Linked DNA regions of Macaca fascicularis. The protein of the gene in region 6 interacts with the protein of the main gene of each other region in a pairwise test. Links are inferred from orthologs where the notes say so. Each region holds a gene or a part of one and is shown on either strand. Other genes may lie near its edges.

The links.
Region 1: the proteins of NDN (region 6) and APBB1IP interact in a two-hybrid assay, tested with the Homo sapiens proteins (2 studies listed by BioGRID and IntAct). The link is inferred for Macaca fascicularis from reciprocal best matches to the Homo sapiens genes NDN and APBB1IP.
Region 2: the proteins of NDN (region 6) and MIER2 interact in a two-hybrid assay, tested with the Homo sapiens proteins (2 studies listed by BioGRID and IntAct). The link is inferred for Macaca fascicularis from reciprocal best matches to the Homo sapiens genes NDN and MIER2.
Region 3: the proteins of NDN (region 6) and SSX2IP interact in a two-hybrid assay, tested with the Homo sapiens proteins (2 studies listed by BioGRID). The link is inferred for Macaca fascicularis from reciprocal best matches to the Homo sapiens genes NDN and SSX2IP.
Region 4: the proteins of NDN (region 6) and ZBTB1 interact in a two-hybrid assay, tested with the Homo sapiens proteins (2 studies listed by BioGRID and IntAct). The link is inferred for Macaca fascicularis from reciprocal best matches to the Homo sapiens genes NDN and ZBTB1.
Region 5: the proteins of NDN (region 6) and EEF1AKMT1 interact in a two-hybrid assay, tested with the Homo sapiens proteins (2 studies listed by BioGRID and IntAct). The link is inferred for Macaca fascicularis from reciprocal best matches to the Homo sapiens genes NDN and EEF1AKMT1.
Region 7: the proteins of NDN (region 6) and SERTAD3 interact in a two-hybrid assay, tested with the Homo sapiens proteins (2 studies listed by BioGRID and IntAct). The link is inferred for Macaca fascicularis from reciprocal best matches to the Homo sapiens genes NDN and SERTAD3.

The regions. Positions count from the first base shown.
Region 1 is NC_088383.1:27,300,054-27,303,553, reverse strand, and holds part of APBB1IP (amyloid beta A4 precursor protein-binding family B member 1-interacting protein), read right to left. Parts: intron 3,118-3,500; coding exon 2,958-3,117; intron 1,007-2,957; coding exon 885-1,006; intron 1-884. UniProt on the Homo sapiens protein: Appears to function in the signal transduction from Ras activation to actin cytoskeletal remodeling. Suppresses insulin-induced promoter activities through AP1 and SRE. Mediates Rap1-induced adhesion.
Region 2 is NC_088393.1:868,137-871,509, forward strand, and holds the end of MIER2 (mesoderm induction early response protein 2), read right to left. Parts: intron 2,429-3,373; coding exon 2,011-2,428; intron 1,629-2,010; coding exon 1,607-1,628; 3' UTR 501-1,606; downstream 1-500. UniProt on the Homo sapiens protein: Transcriptional repressor.
Region 3 is NC_088375.1:149,985,519-149,989,018, reverse strand, and holds part of SSX2IP (afadin- and alpha-actinin-binding protein), read right to left. Parts: intron 2,943-3,500; coding exon 2,832-2,942; intron 1,275-2,831; coding exon 1,139-1,274; intron 1-1,138. UniProt on the Homo sapiens protein: Belongs to an adhesion system, which plays a role in the organization of homotypic, interneuronal and heterotypic cell-cell adherens junctions (AJs).
Region 4 is NC_088381.1:132,326,036-132,330,031, reverse strand, and holds the start of ZBTB1 (zinc finger and BTB domain-containing protein 1), read right to left. Parts: upstream 2,801-3,996; 5' UTR 2,631-2,800; intron 2,234-2,630; exon of another isoform or gene 961-2,233; intron 1-960.
Region 5 is NC_088391.1:1,096,669-1,100,759, reverse strand, and holds the start of EEF1AKMT1 (EEF1A lysine methyltransferase 1), read right to left. Parts: upstream 2,801-4,091; 5' UTR 2,078-2,800; intron 1-2,077. UniProt on the Homo sapiens protein: Protein N-lysine methyltransferase that selectively catalyzes the trimethylation of EEF1A at 'Lys-79'.
Region 6 is NC_088381.1:5,296,370-5,299,900, reverse strand, and holds NDN (necdin), read right to left. Parts: upstream 2,128-3,531; 5' UTR 2,040-2,127; coding exon 1,074-2,039; 3' UTR 501-1,073; downstream 1-500. UniProt on the Homo sapiens protein: Growth suppressor that facilitates the entry of the cell into cell cycle arrest.
Region 7 is NC_088393.1:47,545,587-47,549,688, forward strand, and holds the start of SERTAD3 (SERTA domain-containing protein 3), read right to left. Parts: upstream 2,801-4,102; 5' UTR 2,764-2,800; exon of another isoform or gene 2,577-2,763; intron 2,433-2,576; exon of another isoform or gene 2,306-2,432; intron 1,523-2,305; exon of another isoform or gene 1,212-1,522; intron 615-1,211; exon of another isoform or gene 451-614; intron 215-450; 5' UTR 209-214; coding exon 1-208.

The DNA.
Region 1 (3,500 bases), on a different chromosome or scaffold from region 6:
CTCACACAATTATAGTTGCTCGAGGCCTCAGTTGGGAAAAAGCCTGGAAATCCTTGTACACATGACTTGAAGGAAGCATTTTCAAATATGAAGAACAAATATGAAAAAAAGAACACATATAAATTTATGCTTTTTACTTGCACAAATTGTTTGTAACGAAATCACAGTAACTTGCACATTTTCCAGGTGGTCCTTTTAGTTTTCCTGGCAAATATAAGCACCAAATACAAACAACAAAGAAAAGAGCATCTTTCAAGCAGGAAGCAGGAAGAACCAACAGTGAGTGCATGAAGATATATCGGATTAATACAGCCACACAGAAACAGGGACAGAAGAGAATCAGACAACCACAGAGAGATACATTTTGGATTTGGAATGAAAAAAAAGCAAAATGGATTCTTCTCTTTCTGAATCCTTCAAAGGGCTGTTAACTTACATACAGCTTAAGAGCTGAGTCTGTGTTTATTTGAAAATAATATATTTGTAATATTTTGTGAGACAATGAATGGTGTGGTTAGTATACAGGTGACATTAAAACAAATCCTTGGCCGGGCGCAGTAGCTCATGCCTGTAATCCCAGCACTTTTGGAGGCAGAGGCGGGCAGATCACGAGGTCAGGAGATCGAGACCATACTGGCCAACATGGTGAAACCCTGTCTGTACTAAAAAATACAAAAAAGTTAGCTGGGCCTGGTGGTGCATGCCTGTAGTCCCAGCTACTGGGGAGGCTGAGGCAGGAGAATTGCTTGAATCTGGGAGGCGAAGTCTGTAGTGAGCCAAGATCATGCCACTGCACTCCAGCCTGGGCGACAGAGTGAGACTCTGTCTTAAAAAAGAAAATCCTTCATACTTTATAGGGTTTAATAATATGCAGGTCATCTTACCTGGGGGTTTTTAAATACAGCATATTTCTCCTCTTTCTGCAAAAATAGTACTTTATTTTCTGTGTCTCTTGTCCAGTCTGATAAGACTTCAACAACATTTTCATGGTCTTCGAAAAACCTCTCTGATGAAATAAGAAAAGGTATTCTTTCAGACCCAAGACATCAGGGGTTCCAAGTGAGAAGCAAGCTATTACTGAGTTAATCTTCATGAGTTTCATCAGGTGCCTAGGATTCTTATTAATAATTCTCACATGATGTCACACTGTAATATTTCTATTATGTTTATCTTTCATTGTCTTCAAGTTATCTTCCATTAAAAACAAGATGAAAAAACCCATAACACAGGCCGGGCACGGTGGCTCAAGCCTGTAATCCCAGCACTTTGGGAGGCTGAAACGGGTGGATCACGAGGTCAGGAGATCGAGACCATCCTGGCTAACACGGTGAAACCCCGTCTCTACTAAAAAAAAATATAAAAAAATAGCCGAGCGAGGTGGTGGGCGCCTGTAGTCCCAGCTACTCGGGAGGCTGAGGCAGGAGAATGGCGTGAACCTGGGAGGCGGAGTTTGCAGTGAGCTGAGATCCGGCCACTGCACTGCAGCCTGGGCGACAGAGCGAGACTCCATCTCAAAAAAAAAAAAAAAAAAACAAAAAACCCATAACACAGTGACAATGGTCAGCTGTCACACTTTTTTCTTTCATTTTGTTTAAGAGATGGGGTCTCACTGTGTTGTCCAGGCTGGAGTGCAGTGGCTATTCACAGGCTCAAGGCTCAAGCAATCCTCTTGCCTCACCCTCCCAAGTAGCTCGGCCTACAGGCATATGCCAGTGTACCCGGAGACATACTTTTTTCATACCGACATTTTTTACCTTAAATAGTCCCAGATGGTGGCAAACATTCTACGTGAGGTGGACAGTCAGTCAATGACTGGTGGAACACTTTGAATGAAATTGTGAGAGTCACAGTGTGTACTCCAAAACATCACTCCTTAACATTCTAAAAGCAACGTGTGAATGCTTGAATTAAAACATAAAGAAAGGCTTTCATTTCTTCCCTTGACACATAGAACTGAAGACAACTTCAAGGGACTGTTTTAGTGTAAACCATTTTATCCAGAAAAAAAATTGCTCCTAAAGCTTCCAGCACAGGCAATTCTGTCCCACCCAGCTCTCCTGAGGGACGACTGTCCCATTATTAAAAATGAGAAATGTGGTATGTGTGCCTATAGTCCCAGCTACTCGGGATGCGGAGGCAGGAGGATCGCTTGAGCCTGGGAGCTGAGGCTACAGTGACCCATGACTGCGTCATTGCACTGTAGCCTTGGTAATGGAGCAAGACCCTGTCTCAACGCCACCACCACCACTACCTAGAATGAGAAGTAACAGTATATCTTCAGTTAACCTTTTTTCCGCTTTTGAAAAATTCCACCAATTTCTACCAATTGTTCTTTGCACTCTGAGGCTGAGCCTCTTCCACAAGACAAAGTGTCAGAGATTAAGCAAGTGGGGAGGGAGGAGGGGGAAATGAGCACTGGTGGGAGACTGTGGCAGGGTTATGGTCGGTTAAGGAAGCAACCACTAAAGAGGCATTAGCCGACAGATACCCAGCCTCTTCTGCCACCTGCTCAGCTTATTAACCATGCAGTATCTTAGTCAGTATCATCCAGTCGCTTTCTTTCCCAAATGGAACCACTAGAGAAGCAGCAGTAATAATGCTTATATCCCCCAAGGTCTGGCCACCACCTGCTAGAATCCAACTCTCTTCACTACAACAAAATGAAGAGTCGAGCACTAAATCTCATATAAGGGAAGTGAAAGCCTTGAACCAAAGTCTTCTCAAGGAAGAACCAGGCCAGGCATGGTGGCTCACGCTTGTAATCCCAGCACTTTGGGAGGCCCAGGTGGGAGGATTGCTTGAGCGCAGGAGTTTGATATCAGCCTGGGCAGCATAGTGAGACCCCGTGTCTATTTTCTATGTAAAATTAAAGAGAAAAAAAGAATAAACCCAGGCCCGTAATACAGCAAACCCACAAGGTTTTTGGAGTACAGCCCATTGCTGCGGATGGGACTTACCAATTTGTAGTTCCGGGTAGATTTCATAAAGACACCAGTCTACACTGCAGTCACAATGAGTTTTCTCGAAAAGGTTGTCCAGAACATCTCGGGCTAGCTGCCGCTCATCCACCATCAGTGACTTTGTGCCGTTGTCGTCCATGTGCACCTTGACGACGAGCTGAGGATAGAACCATGAGGCAGCCAGTAAATTTCAGCAACTGGAGAAGGCTACTAAGATAAAGGTTTCAAAGTTGCTACTGTTTCTGCACATTTATATGAGAATGTGTTTGGTGAACTTGCTCCATCTAAACTCACTTGCATGCCAGGCACTTGTTTTAGGTGCTAGGATTATAGAGGTGGAGAAACCAATTCACAAAAAGAGAAAATAGATAATAAACAAAGTCCTTGTTTAGCCTTCAGAGACAGGGCATTCTGGTGGCAGAGACAGAAAACAAAGAGAACAAAAAAAGTGCTAGCTTCTTTCTTTCCCAATAATCTTTCCCTTTTCTTATTCCATCCTGGAGCCCAGAAACTTTTCTAGATTAAAAGCTATGCCTGTAT
Region 2 (3,373 bases), on a different chromosome or scaffold from region 6:
ATCTCAGCCTCATGCCCTACTGTCCCCAACCCGCCCAGCCGCTGCCCTCTGTGCCCTCAGCTTCTCCTGTAGACCCAGGCCTCTGTCCTCTGCATCGGCTGTCACGCCTGCCAGGACCCTGCAAACTTCCAGCAAAGCAGGGCCATTCCCCTTCAGGTTCCAGCTTAACTGTCACTTCTAGGAGGCAGCGCCGACCACCTCTACCCAGACGTGGGCCCTCCTCACATCCCGTCCTCATGGCCACAGTTCCCTCACTGACGTGGACATGGAGCCCACCACGTCATGCCCCCACTGCACCCCCTCGCCTCTGTGGCTCACAACTTATCCCGGATCCTCCAACAGACATGCAGGCCCCCAAGTGAGATGACAGGGACACCTGCCGCCCCCAGCCCCCACCCAACCCACCACCAGGCACCCCGGGCGCCCCCAGCCCCCACCCAACCCACCACCAGGCACCCCGGGCGACCCCAGCCGCCACCCAACCCACCACCAGGCACCCCGGGCTTCAAATCAAGTTTAATAAATAAAACAGCAAGGGGGGGTTCAAGGCAGTTATCACTTCACAGTGTGGTCCTTGGTGGGGTGAGGGATGGTCGAGTCCAACTCAGAAAGGGGCTCGAGCACAGGAGGCTGGACGACGCCCGGGGCAGGGCACGCCGCGGCCCACGGAGGACCCCACGCCAACGTGTAAACAGAAACAGAAACGGACAGGGGTCGGGGAAGAGGGACCAGGACTCCAAGCCATCTTGCTGGGAAGCTTCCCACAGAAGGAAGACCTGCAGGGCTGGGGAAACAGGCTGGAGTCCGGCCCCTGCACGGCCGGCAGGGCCAGCTCCTCTCGAGGCTCCCTGCCTTGGTACCAGGGGAGGACAGCAAAGGGGGTGTAAGTCACCTGTCTCCTCAAACCCACGCCTGGGGTTGCTGAGGGGCCCCCACCCCAACCGCTCAGGATCGGGAACAGGGATGGAGGGGAAGAGGCAGGTGGGGGTGTAAAGTGCGGCTTTTCCTGAAGTGGAGACGACGGGGTGGGAGGGGAGGCCGGGCTGGGGGCCGGACAGCGAGGTATATGGCTCTGTGCCCCACGGGGTTGGCACTGAGTAGCAGCTGCCCACGACCCCCAGGGCTGGGGCAGCCCGCGGCCCTGCCAGGTGTGGAGAGACAGAGCCAAGCAGGGAACGGAGGGTGCCCCGGCGGAGGCTGCTGGTGCGGGGCGGGGCGTCCTGCCCGTCTCCCCGCCGGGGCAGTGACACCTTCCCTCGCCTCTGCGGGCTGGAAGGGACGAGGCGGCCGGCTCTGCCCCGAGTCCCAAAGGCCGGGTCTTTTCTGTCCACGGCTGCCTGACGGATCCCACATGCAGGCAGCAGCCTGGACCCGGGTGGCAGTGCCGGGCGCTGACGGCGTTGTGTGTGGCTCTGGGTCCAGTCTGCATGGCCGGGGCAACGGCGCACGGCCCAGCCACCTCACACCAGTCCTGACGTGTTCAGAAGCAGAGGAGGTGCCACCCCGAGGCCCGGGGCGGGGGAAGGGGTCAGGAAGACTGACAGAGGCGGGCCCAGCGGCAGTGCCAAGTCCAGTCTGGGCCGCATACGCCGCCCGCGGCCAGGAGTCAGCAGGTCATCACATTACAGCTGCAGGGAAGACACGGAGAGAGACGCGGGGCGTCAGGGTGGCCCCACATGCCTGCACAGCCCAGTGCTGAGCGCTGGACTCGAGACTCCCAGCCTTGCCTCCCCGACAACCTACGGCAGCAGGGCCCGGGTGCTCTGGGGGGAGCTTGTGGCTGGAGCAGGGGTGGGAGAGCCTGGCACCTGCCCCTATTTGTGGAGCATGTGGACCACACGAATGTATTCTCCAGTCAGAAAATACATGCAAGTCAAGAATAACCCTAAAGCAGCCCCGAGAGCCGCTCGTGGAGCCGCGCTGTCCTTGGGGCAAACCCTCAGCGCAGCCTGAGGGCTGGGGGACCTCACTGGAGTGTCGGGGAAGCTCCGGGCATGGGGTGGCACTCACTGTGACAGGGGCTCCGAGTGTAGCCCGGGGGCCGGGCACGTGGGGTGGGCGGCCAGGAAGGGGTTCACGTCCCCAATGCCAATGAGTCCAAACTCGGTGACCGACAAAGCCACCTGCGCAGGGGCCACAGTCCCCTCCGGGTCCCCGCTCAGGTCCACACGGCTGGAGATGAGAGGCAGCTCCTCGGGCAGGGCGAAGTCCACAGCCAGCCTTGGGCCGGCGTCTGCCTCCGGAGCGACGACAGCCGGCGGGTACGAGGCCGGGTCGGCCAGGGCCGGAGGCGGACGGGATGGGGGTCCGGCGGGGGGCTCGTCCGGCTGCCGGAAGGAACAGGGCCCCGGCTCCGAGGACGGGAGGCCATCAGAGGCCACCGCAGGCTCACCGAGACCACCGGCCGTGCCATCCACACTCAGTGGGTCTGTGAAGAGAATGCAACAGAGGGTGGGGCCGCCCACAGGCACCAGGCTGCGGCCATGCCACTCCTGTGCCAGCTCCTGCCAACCCTGCTGGGTCCAGCAAAGCCTGTGGATCCCTCCCTAAAAAGCCTCTGTACAAATACAGAAGAACCAGGTACCCGGAAACCTGTGAGCCCCCAGGTTAAAGACCCCAGTTTTAGAAGGTCATAAAATCCACCGAGTGGGTCACAGCCCACATCCGTGACACCAGAGCAGACTACAAGAGACAAGGGTGTGAGCAAGGCCTGGGGCACTGCGAGGGTCGACACAGCGTCTGGGGAAGTTCCGTCCCACACGCAGCCGCACCGTCCCACACGCAGCGCACGGGGCCGCACCGTCCCACACGCAGCACAGGGGCCGCACCGTCCCACACGCAGCACAGGGGCCGCACCGTCCCACGCACAGGGGCCGCACCGTCCCACACGCAGCACAGGGGCCGCACCGTCCCACACGCAGCGCACGGGGCCGCACCGTCCCACATGCAGCCGCACCGTCCCACATGCAGCCGCACCGTCCCACACACAGCACAGGGGCCGCACCGTCCCACGCACAGGGGCCGCACCGTCCCACGCACAGGGGCCGCACCGTCCCACACGCAGCACAGGGGCCGCACCGTCCCACACGCAGCACAGGGGCCGCACCGTCCCACACGCAGCGCACGGGGCCGCACCGTCCCACATGCAGCCGCACCGTCCCACATGCAGCCGCACCGTCCCACACACAGCACAGGGGCCGCACCGTCCCACGCACAGGGGCCGCACCGTCCCACGCACAGGGGCCGCACCGTCCCACACGCAGCACAGGGGCCGCACCGTCCCACACGCAGCCGCACCGTCCCACACGCAGCACACGGGGCCGCACCGTCCCACACGCAGCGCACGGGGCCGCACCGTCCCACACGCAGCGCA
Region 3 (3,500 bases), on a different chromosome or scaffold from region 6:
CACTCCAGCCTGGGCGACAGAGCAAGACTCCGTCTCAAAAAATAATAATAATAATAATAAAATAAAATAAATTTAAAACAATACTTTCAGCATTTCATCCTGCTTTTTAATTGTTTTTCCTTCATGAATGAACATGAGGCTAACTAACCTTAAAAACCAATGATTCTCCAAATGAGTAAGATTAACTCAGGATACCTAAAGCTTTCCAATCTTAATTGCATATTACTGAATCTTCATTTCTATTTTTCAATAATTTAAAAAATAAAGTATTCGGCTACCTCCAACAGCTCTGCTGTAGAATGACAGCGATGTAGTCAACACTAAACTGCTTGCTGACAGCAGGCAGAGTGTACCACATGACAGCCTGAAACGTATGCTCATCGTCTGTTTTTCAAATCTAAGGTAAGACAGTTTAGGGGTGTCATGGTATAATGTATGTTAGAGGACTACGTATGGTCACTTGGAAACCACTCTTCAATAAATAAATACACACTTCTTGTGTCTCGTATTTATACCAGGCCAGCAAAACTGTATTTTAAAGATCTACTTTCATATTTCTTTGCTTTTTAATTTACACTATCTACTTGAAATTATCCACATATTTGGATGAAATGGTTTAACGTTTTGAAAAAGCCTACTATTAGCAAAAAAGTATACTTTAGACACACACACATGCCTAACTTTCAAAGTCCATCCTTTTGACTAGTTTCTCCAAAAATGCACAGCTAAACTTATTTAAAGGAACTCAAACTGACATGAACGATTTGGTCTGATGATAAATTTTATGAGGTTTACTCTATTTTGACACTCAGAAACTGACCCTGATTTTTAATATTATCAGTTCTTTGATATGGAAAATTAGAATGTCCTCTGGCTTAGTTTTTCTCTATGGATTAATTCTACACTGGTCATGTTAAAAAACACATGTAATTAAATAAAGCAAGGCAAAATGACTTATTTTCCACTAACCAGCTGTCTAAATTTTTTATATAAACCACCACCACCGAAAAGCAATTGTATAAAGCATGAAAATAACATTTCACGAGTTACTGTGTTCAATCCTTTTACAATTATTTCTAAGCATAGTATTAGCTGATTTATTCCCTTAGCTGATCTTTGCCAGCTGCCAGCTGTTTACCTATTTTCTTATCTTTCTTGTTCATAACAAGTTGATGTAGACGTTCCTTCAGTTTATTATATTCACGCTCTTTTCTCTTCATATCATGATTATACTGAGTAGCTCGACTTGCAATGATATTTTGTAATTTTTGTACCTGAAAAAGGCATTTGCTATTATAAGCCCAGTTACAATTCACAAATTCAAAAGAGAAAAATCCTAAAATTCATCTCCCCATATAGGTTTTAAAATCCTAGGATGATTCTTCCTTATTTGTAACCAGTAGAAACCACTTTTTAAAATATTATATGAATCATATAAAGCTTAATTCTGAAATTTCTAGAAGTGCTAATTTTCTGAATTATCTCCTGTACCTTTTACCTTACATATAGACTCTGAACATTTAAAAACCAGATATTCTTATGGAAGTATTAAAATGATTAAAGCTTCATCTGAGATAAACTGAATTCATCTGATCATTTTAAGTGAACTCCTTGTATTACTGACTTAAAAATCACTTATACTTTTTGTTAATCTGTGACAAAGTGAATTAAGCCTGTGGCACATGGCAGCAGGTAAGCAGGCTCATTTTTCTAATTAAAAACAATTCTCAAATAAGAGTAAGTCCAAACAGCAGAATAATCCAGTCCAAATATTTGCTGAGTATGTATTACGTGCCAGACACTGCTGTTCAAAGTTCAGATCAATTACAGTTTCTCAGGCAGCCCCTGATAGAGTATGTCCTATTCTTTTATAAAGCCATTCCCAATCCCTGCTAGGGATTAACATGATTAACTTAATCCCTACTGAAGATGAACTGTATTCAAACCGTTTAAATGTAATCAACAGATCTAGTCAGAATTGTCTGTGAACTCAAGGAAACATGTATAAGCAAGCTTACAGTTTAAATACTAATTACCTACTTATTAAATATACTACTAAATAAACAAATATGGTAAAACAAATCTATCTAAACCACTCCAGGGTTCTTTAAAGAAATACACTCCTCAGAAGTCTTTAATTATAGTTCAAACAACATAAAACACTGAAACTATTATATTTTTATAGTTATTAAATGGTCAGAGGTCATACTTTAGAGCAATAAAAACATAATGGTTTCTTCCTACAAAAATGAAAAAAGAATATTTTGAAATGCATTCGTGCTATAGGTCCAAGTAACCACTAAAGTAGAAATTAGAATTCTGCTAAGTAACCACTAAAGCAGAAATTAGAATTGTATCTTTTGTGTTAGAAATTAGATTTTTAATGTGAACTGCTTCTGCGCCCATTTAATGAAGAAACTGCTTGACTAGATGAACAATGTCAGTATTTAAGACAGTGCATGCAAGAAGGGGCACCTCGGCTATCACGTACAGGTACAGCAGAGAATAAAAGGTCTGCATTTAAAGCACTCTTGTGCCTCAGAAAAAGTGACAGTGAACATGAGTCCAGGAAGGGCAGTCCAGGACACTGGCTGTTACCAGCTATGAACTAATATCTAAGCCAAATGGATCCACTGGTGGCGGGGGCTGTGGTGGAGAGGGTTCCTGACCTTCCAGTTAAATACTATACACAAAGGTCTACCATACCAATTTGGGGAAAGATGAATAAATGGTTCTTTCTTTTTTCAAGTAAAGTGGCTCTTATGGTCATCTCATACTACAAAGAAAACAAAAATTCACTTAAACTTCATCAGCAGTAACTGACAACTCACCTCATCTTTCTCATTCTTTAGTAGCTGATGCAAATTCCTGTTCTTACATTGTAACTGTCTATCTCTTTCCTGAAGCCCAATCATTTCCCTCCTGGAAGTTTCCAGTTGTTCCTAAAACATTTACATGCAATTCTGATTAAAATTAACAAAGGATTTAGAATAACTGAATCCTTAAAAGATCAGTAACAAGAAGTTACACATCCTACTGTTTATTAGTCAAAATCATATGTTAGTGGCACGTGAAATGTTTATTTAAAGGAATTATTACAAAGCACACTATAAAATTATAACATTTAAATTTACACATCAAATTTTAATTTACATATCAAATTTTGTACACATATAAAAAAGTGCTTCAAAATGGATCCCTGGAAAGAGCATCACTCCCATGATGCTGCCCCTGAATATTTTTAAAGTTTATTTTTAATACTTTTTAACACTTCTATACCACATTTTTTAAGATCTCCTCAAGTACAGCAATGTCATCATCCTTCGAGAGTGTACTTGGCTTTGAAAAAGAAGCAGAAGTGATTTGGAGCTACGTCTGAAGAAAAAGATGGGTGACCAAGCAAAGTGGCAACACGTCGAGTCACAGAAATGGGACTTCTGTGTGACACCACTTCTCCCTGCAGGTGGTAAAGTCTCTGAAGGTACTTCCCAGAGAGGAAT
Region 4 (3,996 bases), about 130 Mb from region 6:
CATCCCCAGGCAGAGTGAGGCACACACAGCAGCACAGCTGTAACCAGGTTTTAAACAAGGAATTGACTGTACACAGTGATTCTCTCTGGGGAGTGGGAGTCAAAATGACTTTCATTTTTGTATTTTATATACTTCAGTACAGGCTGAATTTTTACAAAGAGCATGGATTTTATAATAAAAAATTACTTACATTTTGAGAAAAAAGACATGAATAACCCTTAATTTGGTTCATATAAGAATATGAGAAAAAACAATTTCCGTTTTAGCATGAGATACTAGCACGGAAGAAAATGTCAGGAGAAAACATTCTGTAGAGACCAAAGTGACCTCTCAAGAAGATGTTTCTCAAATATATCTCAATTTTTTGGGAAGACAACAGATTGCAGCTTATTAACAAAAATCTACGGGAATTTTTCTGTATTTCTGTATCAACAGTTTCCTCTCCTTTGCACCAGAAGGTGAAGAGCAAAGGCTTAGTGCTTTTCCTGGCTAGAGGGCAAGTCTGAAAGCAGGTACTTCTTTTCTCCTGCACATTAGAAAGGGAAATGATGCTACAAATAAAACGAGATACTCTTAAAAAGGTCCATGAACTATATCTTCCCCAGAGCCTGGCAAAAGAGGAGAATGAGGAAGCAGTACAAAAATTTAGAAGTGTTAAAGTGAGATCAAAGCACAAGGTCAAGAGCAAGTGGCTGTGACTGCGCTCATGCCCTGCTAAGGCCCTGGTTAAATATGGTTTCTCTTTTCTCTGACAATGATACACCAGTCCCTTCCCCACAAAAAACTCGAAAAAGTAGGCCATCATATTAGGAGTGGGAAGAATAGAAAGGCTTCAGGAAAGACTGCTCTACCCGAGTTATTCAATACCATGAAAATGTGGTATTAATGGAGAAAGACTGCTCATAAAATGAATGTAAGAGGTTAACTGAAGGCTCTACTGTAGACGTTGTGTCTACTAACCTTTGTAAAAGCATTTCACCTCCACCAGGCTTCAGTTTCCTGGTTTTTGTTGTTGTTGTTTGTTTTTTGGAGACGGAGTCTCACTCTTGTTGCCCAGATTGGAGTGCAGTGGCGCGATCTCGGCTCACTGCAACCTCCGCCTCCCGGGTTCAAGCGATTCTCCTGCGTCCGCCTTCTCAGTAGCTGGGATTACAGGTGCCCGCCACCACGCCAGGCTAATTTTTGTACTTTTAGGAGAAATGGGGTTTCGCCATGTTGGCCAGGCTGGTCTTGAACTCCTGACCTCGGGTGATCCACCCGCCTCGGCATTTGGGATTACAGGCGTGCGCCACTGCGTCCGGCCCAGTTTCCTGTTTCTTTAAGAGGAGTAAGCCGCTTTCTAGCTCCCAAAGTCATCCAGTTATTATTGAGACTTTATTAGATATCCAGCAAGTGATTCAAAAGCAAAGTTTTGAGGTTCTGAGCAAATGATGGCCAGCCATCATTCAAGCCTCATCTTTTTGTACTCAATTTTCCCCGTTTCTCCACATCATATCTATCTGCACTGATAAAATTTCATGGAATCTAATTTCTCCGTTTCAAAGAAGACTGTGATTGCTCTGTAAATTACAAGAACTGCATCCTTCACCAAATCTGCTTCAGAGTGCCTCCAACTTCAACTCAAGACATTGATCCTAGGTTGCCTCAAAAAGCCTCGGACCATTCCTTGGGTTCGAGTGTCAAAGGGAACACTGTTCTTGTAGTGATACATACCGTATGGAAACACTAACACCAATGAAGAATCTGCGTGCACCGCCACACTGAAACTCGATTTAAGAACATTATCACACACATACAAATGTCCTATCCCCGGAAAACGTCAAGGATTTTCATCAACCTCTTCCTGATGCGCCCAATTTAGAAAATGTCATGTCAACCCTTCAGATCATGTACACGCGTTGCTTAGGTAGAAAGGGAGACTGGGTGGGGTGGCTGAGCTCAGACCTTGCCTACATACTTTAGTAGTAAACGACTCCCGATCTGCATCCAACATATTTACCGAACTTCTAAGTAAGCGCCCACCGCTGCAAGCGAAAGCACTTCCTTCCCAGGAAACAGATCTTTTCCACTTAAAATTCCCAAACTCAGACCTTCCACTTTTTACTGAACAAAAAGCGTGTGTGCCGGCGAGAGGGGGTGGGAAACAGCGTAGCAAGAATTTGCGGCTCTTACGCCTCCTCCCTCGGAGCGCGCCCAAGTCTGCAGCCTCGGGCTCCGGGACACTTCCCCTCCCACCCGCCGCGGAGCCGCAGCTGTAAGTTGAGAGAAGCGGGCTCCAGGCACGTCAATCAACCGGGTTCTCCCGCCTCCCGTCTACACCTCCCCTCCCCCCCTCGAAAAAAATAAAGGCAGAGAAAGAAAGAAAAGAAGGTAACTAATTTGGGAACTAGTCTCCGTAAGGGCTTTGCCTCCGACTCAGGGAGGCCGCACGCCCGGGACCTGACGCGCCGGCAACAAGCAGGCGGCCTGGCAGCCGCCCGTCACCGGGTCCTTGCAACGCGTCCGCCGCGCTCCGGCTCCCCGCACGGGTCGGCGCCGCTCCGGCCCCGCACTCCGCCAGGCCCGCGGCCCGTCGCCCTCCGGCCCGGGCGAAAGTTGCGCAAATAGCCCCACAACTGGCAAATACTTACCGGCCGCAGCAGGAACCAGAGCTGCGGAGATTTTAGGGAGTTTAAGGCAAATCAGCCACGGCAAAGGCGGGCGGAGGCGAAGGGGCCGCGAGCTGCAGTGGCGGCGGCGCTCGGCGCTCGGGTTGGGCTGCGCGGAGAGGCTCTGGCTCTGCCAGGGACTGTGCTGCAACAAAGGACTTCCGCTGCCGCACAGCCGCGCCTGCCGCACCGCACTGAGCCGGCCCCGCTTACGCGGCGACTCCGGGTCTGCCCACCAGTTCGCTGCGGCGTCCGCCAGCCTTCCCCTCCCTCTCGCCCGCCCACCCACTCTGCCGCTGGCTGCTAGGGGCACCCGCGGTCGCCTGTTTGTTGCAACAAGTTTCTGCGTCGGGCTCCGAGGAGGCTGGCGCAACCCGCACCGCGGGGGCTGTCGCGGCAGCGGCGGCTTGACCACCCCTCTCGCCCCTCTCTCAAGGGTAGGCTTGGGACCTCCTCCTCCTCCTGTTTGCACAGCTGGATGTGACTGGGCTCCTCCCGACTCCCCAGGGCAGTATGCGCGGCTGTTTTCCCACTCTGTCCAGATGTCAGACCCCTGCCCCGTTGGGCCCAGCAGCTGGGCCGTCCCTCGCGGTCCGCCTCGAGTGCTTCGGAAACCTCGCTCTGTCCGGTCGGTTCAGGGTCGCCTAGTCCCCGCGCTCCCCCCACCCCACCTTCCGTGGGCCTGTCCGCCTCTGGCCCTGAGTCACTTCCCTCGCCATGCCCCACCTCGCCCAGTCCGCCTCTCCACCCAGGCTCCCGCGGCTCGGCCTCCCTGGCCCCGCGCCCTCATCCCTTCCCCAGCGAACACGCGGGCGCATCCTTCCCCACCCCCACCTTCACCCCAGAACTGAGGGGGTGCCTGTGCTTTTGCACACCCTGGGGAAAGTCCCCGGGTCACGCGGTTGTTTGTGGGGAGCCTGTGACGCTCAGGCTCGTCCCTGTGCTTCCGCCTACAGAGTCACGACTGCGAACTGTAGCGGCAGCGCTCAGAGCGCGGGCCGACCCCCGCCCGGCTGCGGGCGGGAGGGCGCGCACGTACGCACGCACGCACGCACGCACACCCTGGCCTTGGCGCCCCTCGTTCCCCTGCTACCAGACACGCGGTCACGTGGGGCCATCGCGGGCTGCCGGCGCGGGAAGCCGCGCGAGAGCCAGCCGCGGGGTGCGTGAGCCGGCTCCACCGCTTGCTGTGCGCGGCTTGGGAGCCCGCCCCTCCTGCACGGAGGAGTCGGCTTGCCGCCGCGGCGGCATCTGGGTAAGCGACGCGGCCCAGCCCTTGTGGGCTGCCCCGGTCTCAGTCCCTCCCGCCGCGAGCCGCCCAGGGCGGCGGCCTGCAGCTGCACCGGTC
Region 5 (4,091 bases), on a different chromosome or scaffold from region 6:
TTTTTTGTATTTTTAGTAGAGATGGGGTTTCACCATGTTAGCCAGGATGGTCTGATCTCCTGACCTCGTGATCCACCCCCCGCGGCCTCCCAAAGTGCTGGGATTATAGGCGCAAGCCACTGTGCCCGGCCATCGAAGAAGGGCTTTTAAATTACAGCCTGTAACTTGTTAATCACTTAGAAATAAAACATGAAAACCAAAAAGGAATCAGTTGACTTTAAGTGCAAAACAAGGAATTCCAAAGAGCAATTTAATAAAACTGTCTACTTTCATAGCTGTAAAAGGCAATTAAGTTCCAATCTATGTAAGAATTCGATCCCAAAATAAAAGTTTGAAGTGTATTAAATCCATTCCTTTGATAATCATTTTCTACCATGTAGGAAGCACTGTTTGTTCTAGGTGGTAAGTCTCAAAGTCCTTATTCTCTTGGTGCTTACATTCGAGAGGAAGACAGACTAAAACAATACGTATGAAATAAATGTTAGATAACAGTAAGATTAACAGAGGAACACATGGAGAGCATAGGGGGCTGCAATTTTAAGAGTCGTAGAATGTTTCCTACATTGTTAAAGTGAGTTCAAAAGTGCATCACTTCTAATGAGGAAAACTGAAATCGGTTAGCAAGATAAACATCAAAGATTAAATGAAATGGCCGGGAGCAGTGGCTCACGCCTATAATCCAAGCACTTTGGGAGGCTGAGGCGGGCATATCACCTGAGGTAAAGAATTCGGTATCAGCCTGGCCAACATCGTGAAACCCATCTCTACTAAAAATACAAAAACTAGTGAGGCGTGGTGGCAGCCGCCTATAGTCCCAGCTACTCAGGAGGCTGAGGCAGGAGAATCGCTTGAACCCGGGAGATGGAGGCTACAGTCAGCTGAGATCTCGCCATTGCACTCCAGCCTGAGTCACAAGAAACTTCATTTCAAAAAAAAAAAATTAACCTATTTTTAACATTTTTTAAATCACTATCTCATTATAGCTTTATTATTTTTAAAATTTCTAAGGGGGTTTATGATCCAAAAGAGTTGGGAAGTACTGTTATATTATTATCTTTAAATTTTTTCTGGCTACTCTGGGCACACTCTCTATGGGGTGGTCCTGCACCACAAGTGGCAGTAAAAAAATTTTTCTTTATATTTTGAAATTTGTACCTATGGATTATATTGAAATTATATTATTATTAAACTGACCTTGGACCTTATGTGGCTCAGACTCTAGATCAGCAGTTCTCACAGAACGAGGAGCCCTTTTGTCGCTAAGGGGAACATCTGGCAATGCCTGGAGACATTTTTGGTTGCCATAAATGGGAAGGAGGGTGCCACTGGCATCCGGTGGGTAGAGGTTGCCGAACTTAAAATTCACAAGACAGCCCTCCACATCAAAGAAGTATCCCACCCCACAAGCTGCAGCCGAAAAATTCTAGGTTAGGCAGACACATGGCGAACACCAACGGTAAGGTGGACGCCCTCTATAGAGAAGCACCATTCACGCCCTGGGATCAGAGTGGAGGGCCTGAGTGGGGAGAGGAGTGAAAGAGCAGGTGGAGTTTCAACTCGACCTGAAGGAAAGGTAAGGATGAAGAGTGAGGATTTCAGAAGAATGGAACAGCCTGACCAAAGGGTCGGACACGTTGGCTTGCAGCGTAAGCAGGGATTAGCCGGCTTCTCATGGGCTGTGGTTAGTCTCTTTTTGTATAAAATCACTCAATTTCCATGTTACCAAATTTACTTAGGGCAAAACCACCATACTATAATTTCCACATTCATTCTTGTGTGAAATTAGGTTAAGACAGCGGAAAAAGCATTAACCTAGGAGCCATCCCAGACTCCAGTAAACCGCAGGCGAGCGAGACTCCCTCTACGAATGGGTAAGGCCTAGATATTCTCCAAATACTTTTTATAGATTGCTGTATGATTCTACCCTTAATCCAATGTATGTCCAGAAAAGGGCCAAAGGTTTTCATTCTCTTTTCATCTTTGAGTCCCCCTGCCTCAAACAGTTCCTTCCGTATCGCTTTCCAGAATTCCATTTATCCTGTTTTTAAATTAACTTTAAAAAGGAGGTAACGCTTACAGTGAAATGCAGGTCGTAGGTGTGCAGTGCGACGTTGTGATGTACACCGCGTGTAACCACAACCCCCATCAGCAAGGCCTTCCTGTCTGACACGTGGCTCCCTCCAGGATCGTCCCAGCGCTTCTTCTGCACCTCCGAAGCTACTGGCTTCGGAGTAAAGGCAGCAGCAGTGAAGCCGTTTCGCAGTAAAGCCGCCCTCGTCCTAGTCTACTCCACCTCGCAGCCCCCGCACCCGGCAGGGTGCCCGCCTCAGAAGCCCCGGCGACAGGGCCCGCCGTCCAGGAGCGGACAGTCAAGCCTGGTCGGGTATTTCGCCAAATCCCTCCGCGAACTTCTGAGAGCAAAGATGGAAAGGACCGCAGGCCGAGTCCTGTTTCTACGCGGAAGGAAGGCCTCCACGCGCTGCCGCAGCCTAAGGGTTCACGTCCCCCTCAGCACCAAGGCCGCCTGAGGCCCGGGAGCCAACGTGCGCGGCCCAGGACGCGGCCCCTTCAGCGACCCGGACACGAGGCCCGACCGCGCCCAACCAGCAACCACGACCCATTCTCAGGCCGGCGCCAGCTCCTTCCCTCAGGCATCCGCCAGCCACCGCTAACTAAACTCTTCCGCTACCACCGCCCTGGAAAAAAGGTGAGAAACACATACACCAAACGCACCTAACCCAGTCCAAAACCCCTCAGCGGCGCGCAGCCAGCCCCACAGCTGCGCCGGAACCCGCCACTCACCAGCCGCGCGTGCGCAGTCGCCCAGACTCTCCGTGGGCAGTGGGAGGGGCTGGCCAGAGTCGCGCTCGCGCAGGCGCAGACCCTCCCGCCCAGGCGCTTGCGCAAGACAGGCCATCTCCCGGCAGCGTCTCAATCTCGCGTTTACTATCCTGGGGGTTGTCTCCATCCTGGAGTCGTTCCTTCACTTGTCTCATCAGCTGCCTCCAAGAATGGTGGCAAGAGATATTTAAGGCCCTCACAGGGCGCGGTGGCTCACGCCTGTAATCCCAACACTTTGGGAGGCCGAGGCGGGCGGATCACCTGAGGTCAGGAGTTCGAGACCAGCCTCACCAACATGGTGAAACCTCTCTACTAAAAATACAAAACTTAGCTGGGCGTGGCGGCGTGCGCCTTAATCCCAGCTACCCAGGAGGCTGAGGCGGGAGACTCGCTGGAACCCGGGAGGCAGAAGCCACACTGAGCCGAGATCACGCCGCAGCTACTCCAGCCTGGGCGACAGAGCAAGGCTCCGCCTAAAAAAAAAAAAAAAAAAGGAATTAAGATCCTAATTAAAGTTAAACCCACTGTTTTGCACTGAGTCACGTAGGTTTTCAAAGTCAAGGCTTCATTGGTCGATTGCTCAGTCTTTTAATCAAATCGTTGACTTTAAATGTTGATATCAAATTGAGGCTTTGGTAAAATTTAAGGGATTGGCGGTGCGGGGAGGGGAACCTTTAAAACTCGTTAGTCTTTCAGGGTCTTCAGTGTTGAGTCCGTTGATCAATATATATATTTAGACATCTAGCACCGTAAGTACGTACGATTTTCGTCAACAACACCTTAATTATCTGGCACATACAAGCACTGATTATTAAAAGGTTCCCTTACGTTTTAGCAGTTACCAAATTATAAGTGATACAAAGTATTTGTTTTCAATTCCCCAAGAAATCAATCTATATTATGCTCCTACCTCCCTTTCCTCCATTTTCTTTACCAATTTCATGATCTTGCTGAATTTTATATATTCTGCTGAGCAATGTGAAAATCCTTTCTGGTATAAGGTAAGGATATAAACTGTTCAGCTGGCAAATGATGCTATTCAGTAAGTAGTTCATGAAACACTAGGTTTATAACTTTGGATGTACCGTAATTTCCATTTTAAGAACTATTTCCAGTTTATAATAACCCATGCTACATTTTGATTTTGTTTTGAATTGATGACAAGTCTATTAACCAAATATTTCAAGATCAGGTGTATTCTGGAAAAGGAACAGGAAGAAAATATGTTTAAAAAAAAAAAAAAACTAAAA
Region 6 (3,531 bases):
TAGTCCTAGCGCCTTCTCTTATTAACCTGTATGAGCTATGGAAAGTCCATTACCTACATTATTCCTGTGTTTCCTCCATGGTGCAGAGGCAGTTCTTGCCTGCCTGACAGGCCTGTTGTGAGGATTAGATAAAAGGAGAAAAATACACGTCAGGGCTCATGTACAATGTCTCACTCTTTAAGTGCCCACAAAGCATCTATTAATTTTGATAAAATGTAGAAACTTAAGGAAATTATTTTTGGTTTTTATTCCCATAGGATGTGATTATGGACAATCTTACTGTTTTGTTTTTTATGCTTTTCTATATTTGTGCATGTTTTTGAAATAAACATGAGTTAAAGACAAAACCACAAACTTCACAAATTTAGGAGTAATCATGAGTAGCGATTTTTCCCACCCCATTAGGGGAAACAGTTATATCTGTGTATACTGTAAAACAGAGAATTGTCTCATTCCCAACCATACTGCTTTGTTAAAATGATAACGTACACTTCCAGAAATGATTGTATCACAAGAATCTTTAATGTTTACTTTAAAGTTGACTCACGGTGGGGTTGTATATGTGTTTAGTAAAGTGTGCCAAGTGCTCTCACATTGAGACCAGTCCAGTTCAAATTAGTTTACGCCACGAGGATGTTTTCAGTCCCCAGCAAGGTCATGAGGGCCTTGACATTTCTTGGTTAGGCCGGCTTTGCTGGTGAGTTTTTCCAAACTCTGCAGGAGCAGTCTACCCCAACACACATCTCAGTCCCATGTAAATTAATAAGATGGAAACGTTCTCAATGTACTTCATCAGTTTAGCACGTCTCTGATACAAAAATCCAAGAAAGGTACCACAAAAGCGAAAGCACCAACCAAGCTTACATATAAACAAACATGCATACATCCTAAATACTACACAATAGTACCCAAATGAATACAACATTGCATTAAAGGTATAAAAGCACTGTACTGGAAACGTAAAAGTTACACGTGAATACTGCACTGTAAATCCTGAACACTCTAATGACCCACCCCCACCCTTCCACAGCCCTGGTGAGGATCAGAAAGCATTCATCTGCCTCCAGACTTGGCTAGTCCTCGGAGACACTGCTGCGAGGGCAGTGGGCAGCGGGATTAGCCTCCCGCAGAGCTCTGGCCTCCTCTAGAGCCTCTCTGTATCGGGAGGGCCAGGCCTGGGGGTCTTTCTTAAAGACCCTGGCCAGGAACTCCATGATTTGCAGCTTGGTGATTTCGCGGCTGGCCCGGGAGCCCCAGAAGAACTCGTACTCGGGCGGCTCCACGTACGGGACGCGCTGGTACTTCAGGTAATTCTGCTGGACGAACTCCTCAGTGATGAGCTTCCGCACGTCCCCGAAGGTGGAGTGCTTCTTCCAGGGCCGCAGCCCCAGGATGCGGAGCACGTTCCAGACCGCGCTCTCTCTGGCGCCGCGGCCCTTCACGTAGATGAGGCTCAGGATCATGAGGAGGAGACCTGTCATGGGCATGCGGTTGCTCAGCGCCACCCTGTCCAGCTCCTCGGGCTCCAGCGCTTTGACCAGCGCAAACTCCATGGTGTGCAGGCTGGTTAGCCTCAGGTGCAGCCCGAACACCCGGGCGAGGATGAGGCTGGTGCGCCGGAGGATGCTCCTGCACCACTTCTTGTAGCTGCCGATGACATCTTTCACCATGTCTGGAAACCAGATGATCATCTTCTTCTGGTCCTTGACCAGCACGTACCACATGAGCTCGTGCGCCTTCTGCACCAGCTGCGCCGGGGCTGGCGGGGCCGGGCCGGGCTGGGCCGCGCTCGGGGCCTGGTGGGCGCGGCCCTCCTCCGCGGCCTGCTGCAGGGCCTTCGGGTCGTCCTCGTCGCTCGGGGCCTGGGGAGGCTGCGCGGCCTGCGGGGCGGCCGTCGGGCCTAAAGGAGGGCTCTGCGGCTCTGCCAGGGTCTCGGACGGAGGAACCCCCTCCGGAACCCCAGGGCTGCTGTGCACCTCGGAGCTGGGGGCCTCGGCTGCAAAGTTAGGGTCGCTTAGATCCTTACTTTGTTCTGACATATCTGCGCCGTCTGGCAAGGGCAGGGCCTCTGCGTCCAGGAGCTCTTCAAGCCTGCGCTCCCTCCGCGGATTCCTGGAGAGGAAGTGCGCGTTGCTGTGCGCGGCGCCTTCCGCAGCGGCGGGCAGGGCGGGGCGGCGGCGGGACGCGGCACTGCGCCTGCGCGACTGCGGCCTTGGCCAGCGGCTGGGGGCGGGCGGGGCAGCGCGGAGCCCCGACGGGGAGGGTCCCTGGCTAAGCTTCACCTGCGGAGAGAGCGATCCCGGGGTTTCCCGTTTGGGCTGAGGGGATCTAGGGCAGGAGAAGAGTGCGATGGATGCGTACTGGAGAAGGGGCCAGTTTAGGAGAAAGATGATAACTTAAGTTTTTGGGATGTTGGGGTCAAGTTTCTTGGGAAACGCTTACCTGATATATCCAGAATTAAGTTAAATATGAGCGTCCCAGAGAAAGGTCTGGGCGGCTGTGTAAACTTGAGCTTTATGCGAACGAGTGAGAGGAACAGTCGGGCTTGTCCAAGAAAATGTGTAAAGTGTATGTCTGAGGTTGGAATCCTGAGAAATTCCAATAAAAAATGATTGACTCCCTCCCTACCAAATCAGAGGGGTTGTAAGAAAAGGAGAAATGCAGCGTGTCCTTAACGTAATTTCCTGTCAACCCATGTGAACTATGAACCTTTTAAGTAGGCAGCGGACTTAGAGCATCATTAATGCTTTAGTGGGCATAAATTTGGGTTTTACATTTCCTTTGGGTCACTTTGATTCCATTTTATTTTTTTCCATACTTAGTCCATAGCAGAAGGATTGCTATATCTTTTAGCACAAACTTGTATGATAATGTCTTTTTCCCTCTGCCCAGCACCCTTATTCTCCGATTCACCTTCTCCCAGGACCCTCTCTGAAGCTACTGAGTCCTCCACGTTGGAAGCCACACCCAAGTCCTTCCTGAGATTTAAAAAAAAAAACAACTAGGTCTCATAGGTAATATCTGGTAGTGTCTCTGAGATGACCCAAGGGTAGCAGGGGCAACATGGGTAACCCTGTTTTCCAAGTATAGAAGACAGATTCCCACTGGGCAAAGACAAAACTCGCTCCTACAGGCTCTCCATGAAAAAAGGGTCATTGGTGGAGCCTCTGAAACCAAGGGCCTTGATGCTGCTTCAGCATCCTTGGTCTGGGCTGATGTGGTCCTTCAGCGCTTCCAGGGTTTCTTCTCATCAGTAGCTTCTTAAATATGTTGAGTCTAATTATTGCCACTCGAAGCCAAAAGCACATTTAAAAATTGTCTTAACATGTCTAGAGTCCTCGCTGTGAGTATATATCTTTTCCCACTTGTCACTTTATTTTTCCTCAAGCAGGTTGATGTTGAAGGGTTTTCTGTGCTCTCTCTCTTTGGGTTTGCATGCACATAACACTTTTGGCAGAGCCATTCCCACACCAGTCCTTCCAACAGGCTCTTTAGCTTCCCACTTCACCAGGGTAATTCCTAGATATCAGT
Region 7 (4,102 bases), on a different chromosome or scaffold from region 6:
GAAGTGCAGCCTGCAGCTGCTGGAGGGTGTTATGGATGAGGACATGCCTGCGGAGGCTGGGTGCTCGGGGGCCCAGGCTGCGCTGGACTTTGTCTAGGGAGATGCGGAGCAGGGCTTGCTGGTAGCTCTGAAGGCCTGCTGGACTCCACTCCCACCTCTCCTCCTCCTCTTCCAAATCAGAGTGTTTCCTCTTCAAGCCTCCCACCATGATGCCCTGTAGAGAGAAGAGGGGCATAGGGGCATGTCAGACACCAGACACCGTAGTGCTGGCTCAAATCCCACTTTTTCAGGCCTATTGAGTTGTTGGTGATTTTTAATCATCTGAATCTCGGTTTACTCATCTATAAAATGAAGGCTGTCTGAATCCTACAAGGTTAAGGAGGTGAATACATATGTGATTAAGAAAATAAGATCTGGACTTAAGTACAGCTAGATTTAAATCCCACTTACTTGCCTATTGTGGCCTCAAACAGTGAATTTACATCCATGAGAATCAATTTCCTCATCTGCCAAATACGGATCCTAACAAGTTCCTCTGAGCCTTAAAACTGTTCTTCCACAATATTAATTTCTTCAAACATGGAGCACGAAAGACAGGTGTGGAGCAGAGAGACCTGGATTGGAACTAGGGAACCCCAAATTTGATTTCTGTACTGGAAACTGCTCAGCTGCGTGATCGTGGGAAGTGACCTGAGTCAATTCTCAGGCCTCAGTTTCCTCATCTGTAAAATGGGGACTGTAAAAAAAATACTTCTCACCACCTCTGTCTAAGGAGATGCCACGTATCTATAGGGCCCACCACACAGGAAGTGCTTAATGAACCAGAGTTGTGTTTTTTTTTTTTTTTTTTTGAGACGGAGTCTCGCTCTGTCGCCCAGGCTGGAGTGCAGTGGCCGCATCTCAGCTCACTGCAAGCTCCGCCTCCCGGGTCTACGCCATTCTCCTGCCTCAGCCTCCCGAGTAGCTGGGACTACAGGCGCCCGCCACCTCACCCGGCTAGTTTTTTGTATTTTTTAGTAGAGACGGGGTTTCACCGTATTAGCCAGGCTGGTCTCGATCTCCTGACCTTGTGATCCGCCCGTCTCGGCCTCCCAAAGTGCTGGGATTACAGGCTTGAGCCACCGCGCCCGGCCGTGTTTGTTTTTTTTTGTTAGAGACAGGGTCTCGCTCTGTCGCCCGGGGCTGAGTGCAGCAGCGCTACCACAGCTCACCGAAGTCTCGAAGTCCCGGGCTCAAGCGATCCTCCCGCCTCAGCTCCTGAGTAGCTGATTACTCCTGAGTAGGGATTACTACCACACCCGGCCTCGATCAAGAGTTAATTGCCAGTTATACGCTCAACAGATTTACTGAGTGCCTACTATATTCGAACTTCCTGGGTCCCTGCTGGGGCACCTATGTTAAGATTCTTCTTTCACAGTCAGGATATTTCCATGTCCTCTTCCTTAACCAACTGGGAGCGCTCCCAAGAGTAGGAAAGGGGCCTCATTCCCTCTGCCCGCGCTTTCAGATTCCCCCAAAGCGCGCCCCACAGGAAAACTTGCTAGAACTCAGCTCAGACCAAGCCCCGCCCCCTAGGGGGGTCCCGCCCAATCAGACCTCGGCACTGCAAGGCCCCGCCCCTCCATGGGTCTTTAGAGAGCATCCAGGAACGCCCCAATTTGTCCCAGGGGCTTCTGGGAAACGGGGGCCAACAGCCGCCAGGTACACGAACCGACGTCGAGCACGCACTACAATCCCCAGAGGGCTCCGCCCGTCCAGGGGACGAGCCCCCCTCCCCCGACCCCGCTCTCCCTCAGGGCATGCGCACAGTGGCACAAGCGAGTGGGGGAAGGGAACCCGGACGTCCAGCTGCCGGCGCCCACCGAGCCCCGCCCTCCGTTGCCTCCGGGGCGGCGAGTCTGAGCTCCATGCCCGGAACACCCCTCCCCCACCCCTGACTCCGGCTCTAAATCTGCTTTCTCCCTGTCCCTCCGTGCCTTGAAAGTCCGGGATTCTCCTCCCAAACTGCCCTTGGATCCAGAGACCCAGATCCGAACACATCGCTCAAAGACGACAATGCTGCGATCTAGTTCGCGAGACTACGTATCCTAATTTTGATACTTCCTCCCACTTCCCCTATTCTCCTGACTTTCAAACGCCCCTGGACTACACCTCTAAACTCGCTGCCCGGCTCCAAGACCCGAACATTGAACTCTTCCCGGCATCCTCCCTTCCCCCGCCAGTGCGTCTTGGAGTCCAAGAATCCTTGACCCTAGCTCTCTCGCTTCTCCAAATACTCAGGATCTCAGCCCCAAACCTCTCACACCTTTTCCAGAACACGATAAAGCCCCGAATTCAACCCGTCCGGAAGACCCAAGTGGAATCGAATCTCCAGGTTCCCTGTCTCAAAAGTTCCTTCCCTCTGTTCTCTCGCTTCTCCAAACGCCCCACGCCCCACGTCCCAGCTTCAAACTCCCTCCACTTGAAAATACTGCCCCAACAACCTCGCATCCCCTCCTGGGTCTCGAACTCAGTCTCGGGCCCCCAGACCCTCCCTATCATCACCCTGAATCTGAGGCCCCCTCCCCCGGTCTCACCCAGACCCCGCCTCCGCAAGTCTCCGGGGCGCGCCTCTCCCTCCTCCAGCCTAAGGTAAATTCCCAAGCCAGGCGACCACTCCTCACCCCAGCTGCCAGGTTTGCCACGACCACCTCCTGGAACGCCCACAGCGTCGCGACCCGCCAGTGCCGGGACCCACCAGTGACCGGCCGGGGCCTCGCTCACCTCGGCAGGGCCTCTCCGTCTGGCTTCGGGCCCACCCAGCCCCGCCCCGGAGCCGAGCCGCGAGCCGCGATTGGCTGGAGTCCCGCCCGCCGCGGGGCGTCGATTGGCTGGGCGGAGCCATCCACCATTGCCCGGAGACGCCGGACCCGCCCACCCCTCCCTAGCGCCCCGGGCCATTTAAAGGAGTGCAACTGGCAGGGGGCGGGGCAGCGCCTCCAGGGGTGGAGGGCGGCTGGTCCAAGAGAACCGCTTCCTTCCACTGGGCTACGGTCCTCGCTCCAAGATCGTCACCACTACTCCCTGCAGTCCCTTTTTGCCAGGCCTGGACCCCACCGCGGAGCCAGAGGGGCTGGCATACCCTCTGGCTCCGGGAGGTCCAGGCAGGCGGGGCCGAACAACCGGAGGAGGTCGCGCCCCCGGGGTTCCGAGGGCGGACGCCGGGGCGGGGGATGACGTACCGAAAGGCCAGCCAATGGTGTGACGCGGCCCGCGTTGCCTAGGCGATCGCAGCCCCGCCCCCTTGCTGCGCTTCTCCCGCCCCCCGTACGTTACCCCGCGGCCCCTTCTTAATCCTCGAGTTTTCTCAACGCGTCCTCTGGTGGTCCTACCTGGGTCTCCTGACACCTCTCTTCTTCCCCGCTCCAACAAGATGACTCCTCCGCTGCTGTTCATGGCTTCCTACCCCTCCTCCCCGAAGACAAACTTCAAACCCCTTCCTTTTGCCACAAAGCCCCTCACGACCTTGCCTGATGCGCTCTCCTGGTTCTCTCCGATCCTGCCCCATTGAGTCACTTCCAGTTTTTCTAAAATGGCTTCAAGCTCCCATTCCCCCCATCACGAAAACGAAAGGATTTTGTCTGTTTGTTTTCTTCCCTGCCTTACCCCAGTGTCTACAATGCCAGGTACATAAGTTCTCAAACATGACAATAAAAGGCCTCTGGATCTTTATTATTTATTATTATTATTATTATTATTTTTTTTTTTTTTTGAGACGGAATCTTGCTCTGTCACCCAGGCGGGAGTGCAGTGGTGCAACCTCGGCTCACTGCAAGCTCCGCCTTCCGGGTTCACGCCATTCTCCTGCCTCAGCCTCCCGAGTAGCTGGGACTACAGGCGCCCGCCACCACGCCCGCCTATTTTTTTTGTATTTTTAGTAGAGATGGGGTTTCACCGTGTTAGCCAGGATGGTCTCGATCTCCTAACCTCGTGATCCGCCCACCTCGGCCTCCCAAAGTGCTGGGATTACAGATGTGAGCCACCGCGCCCGGCCTGGATCTTTATTATTAATAATATTATTTTTTGCCTGGCGCGGTGGCTCATACCTGTAATCCCAGCACTT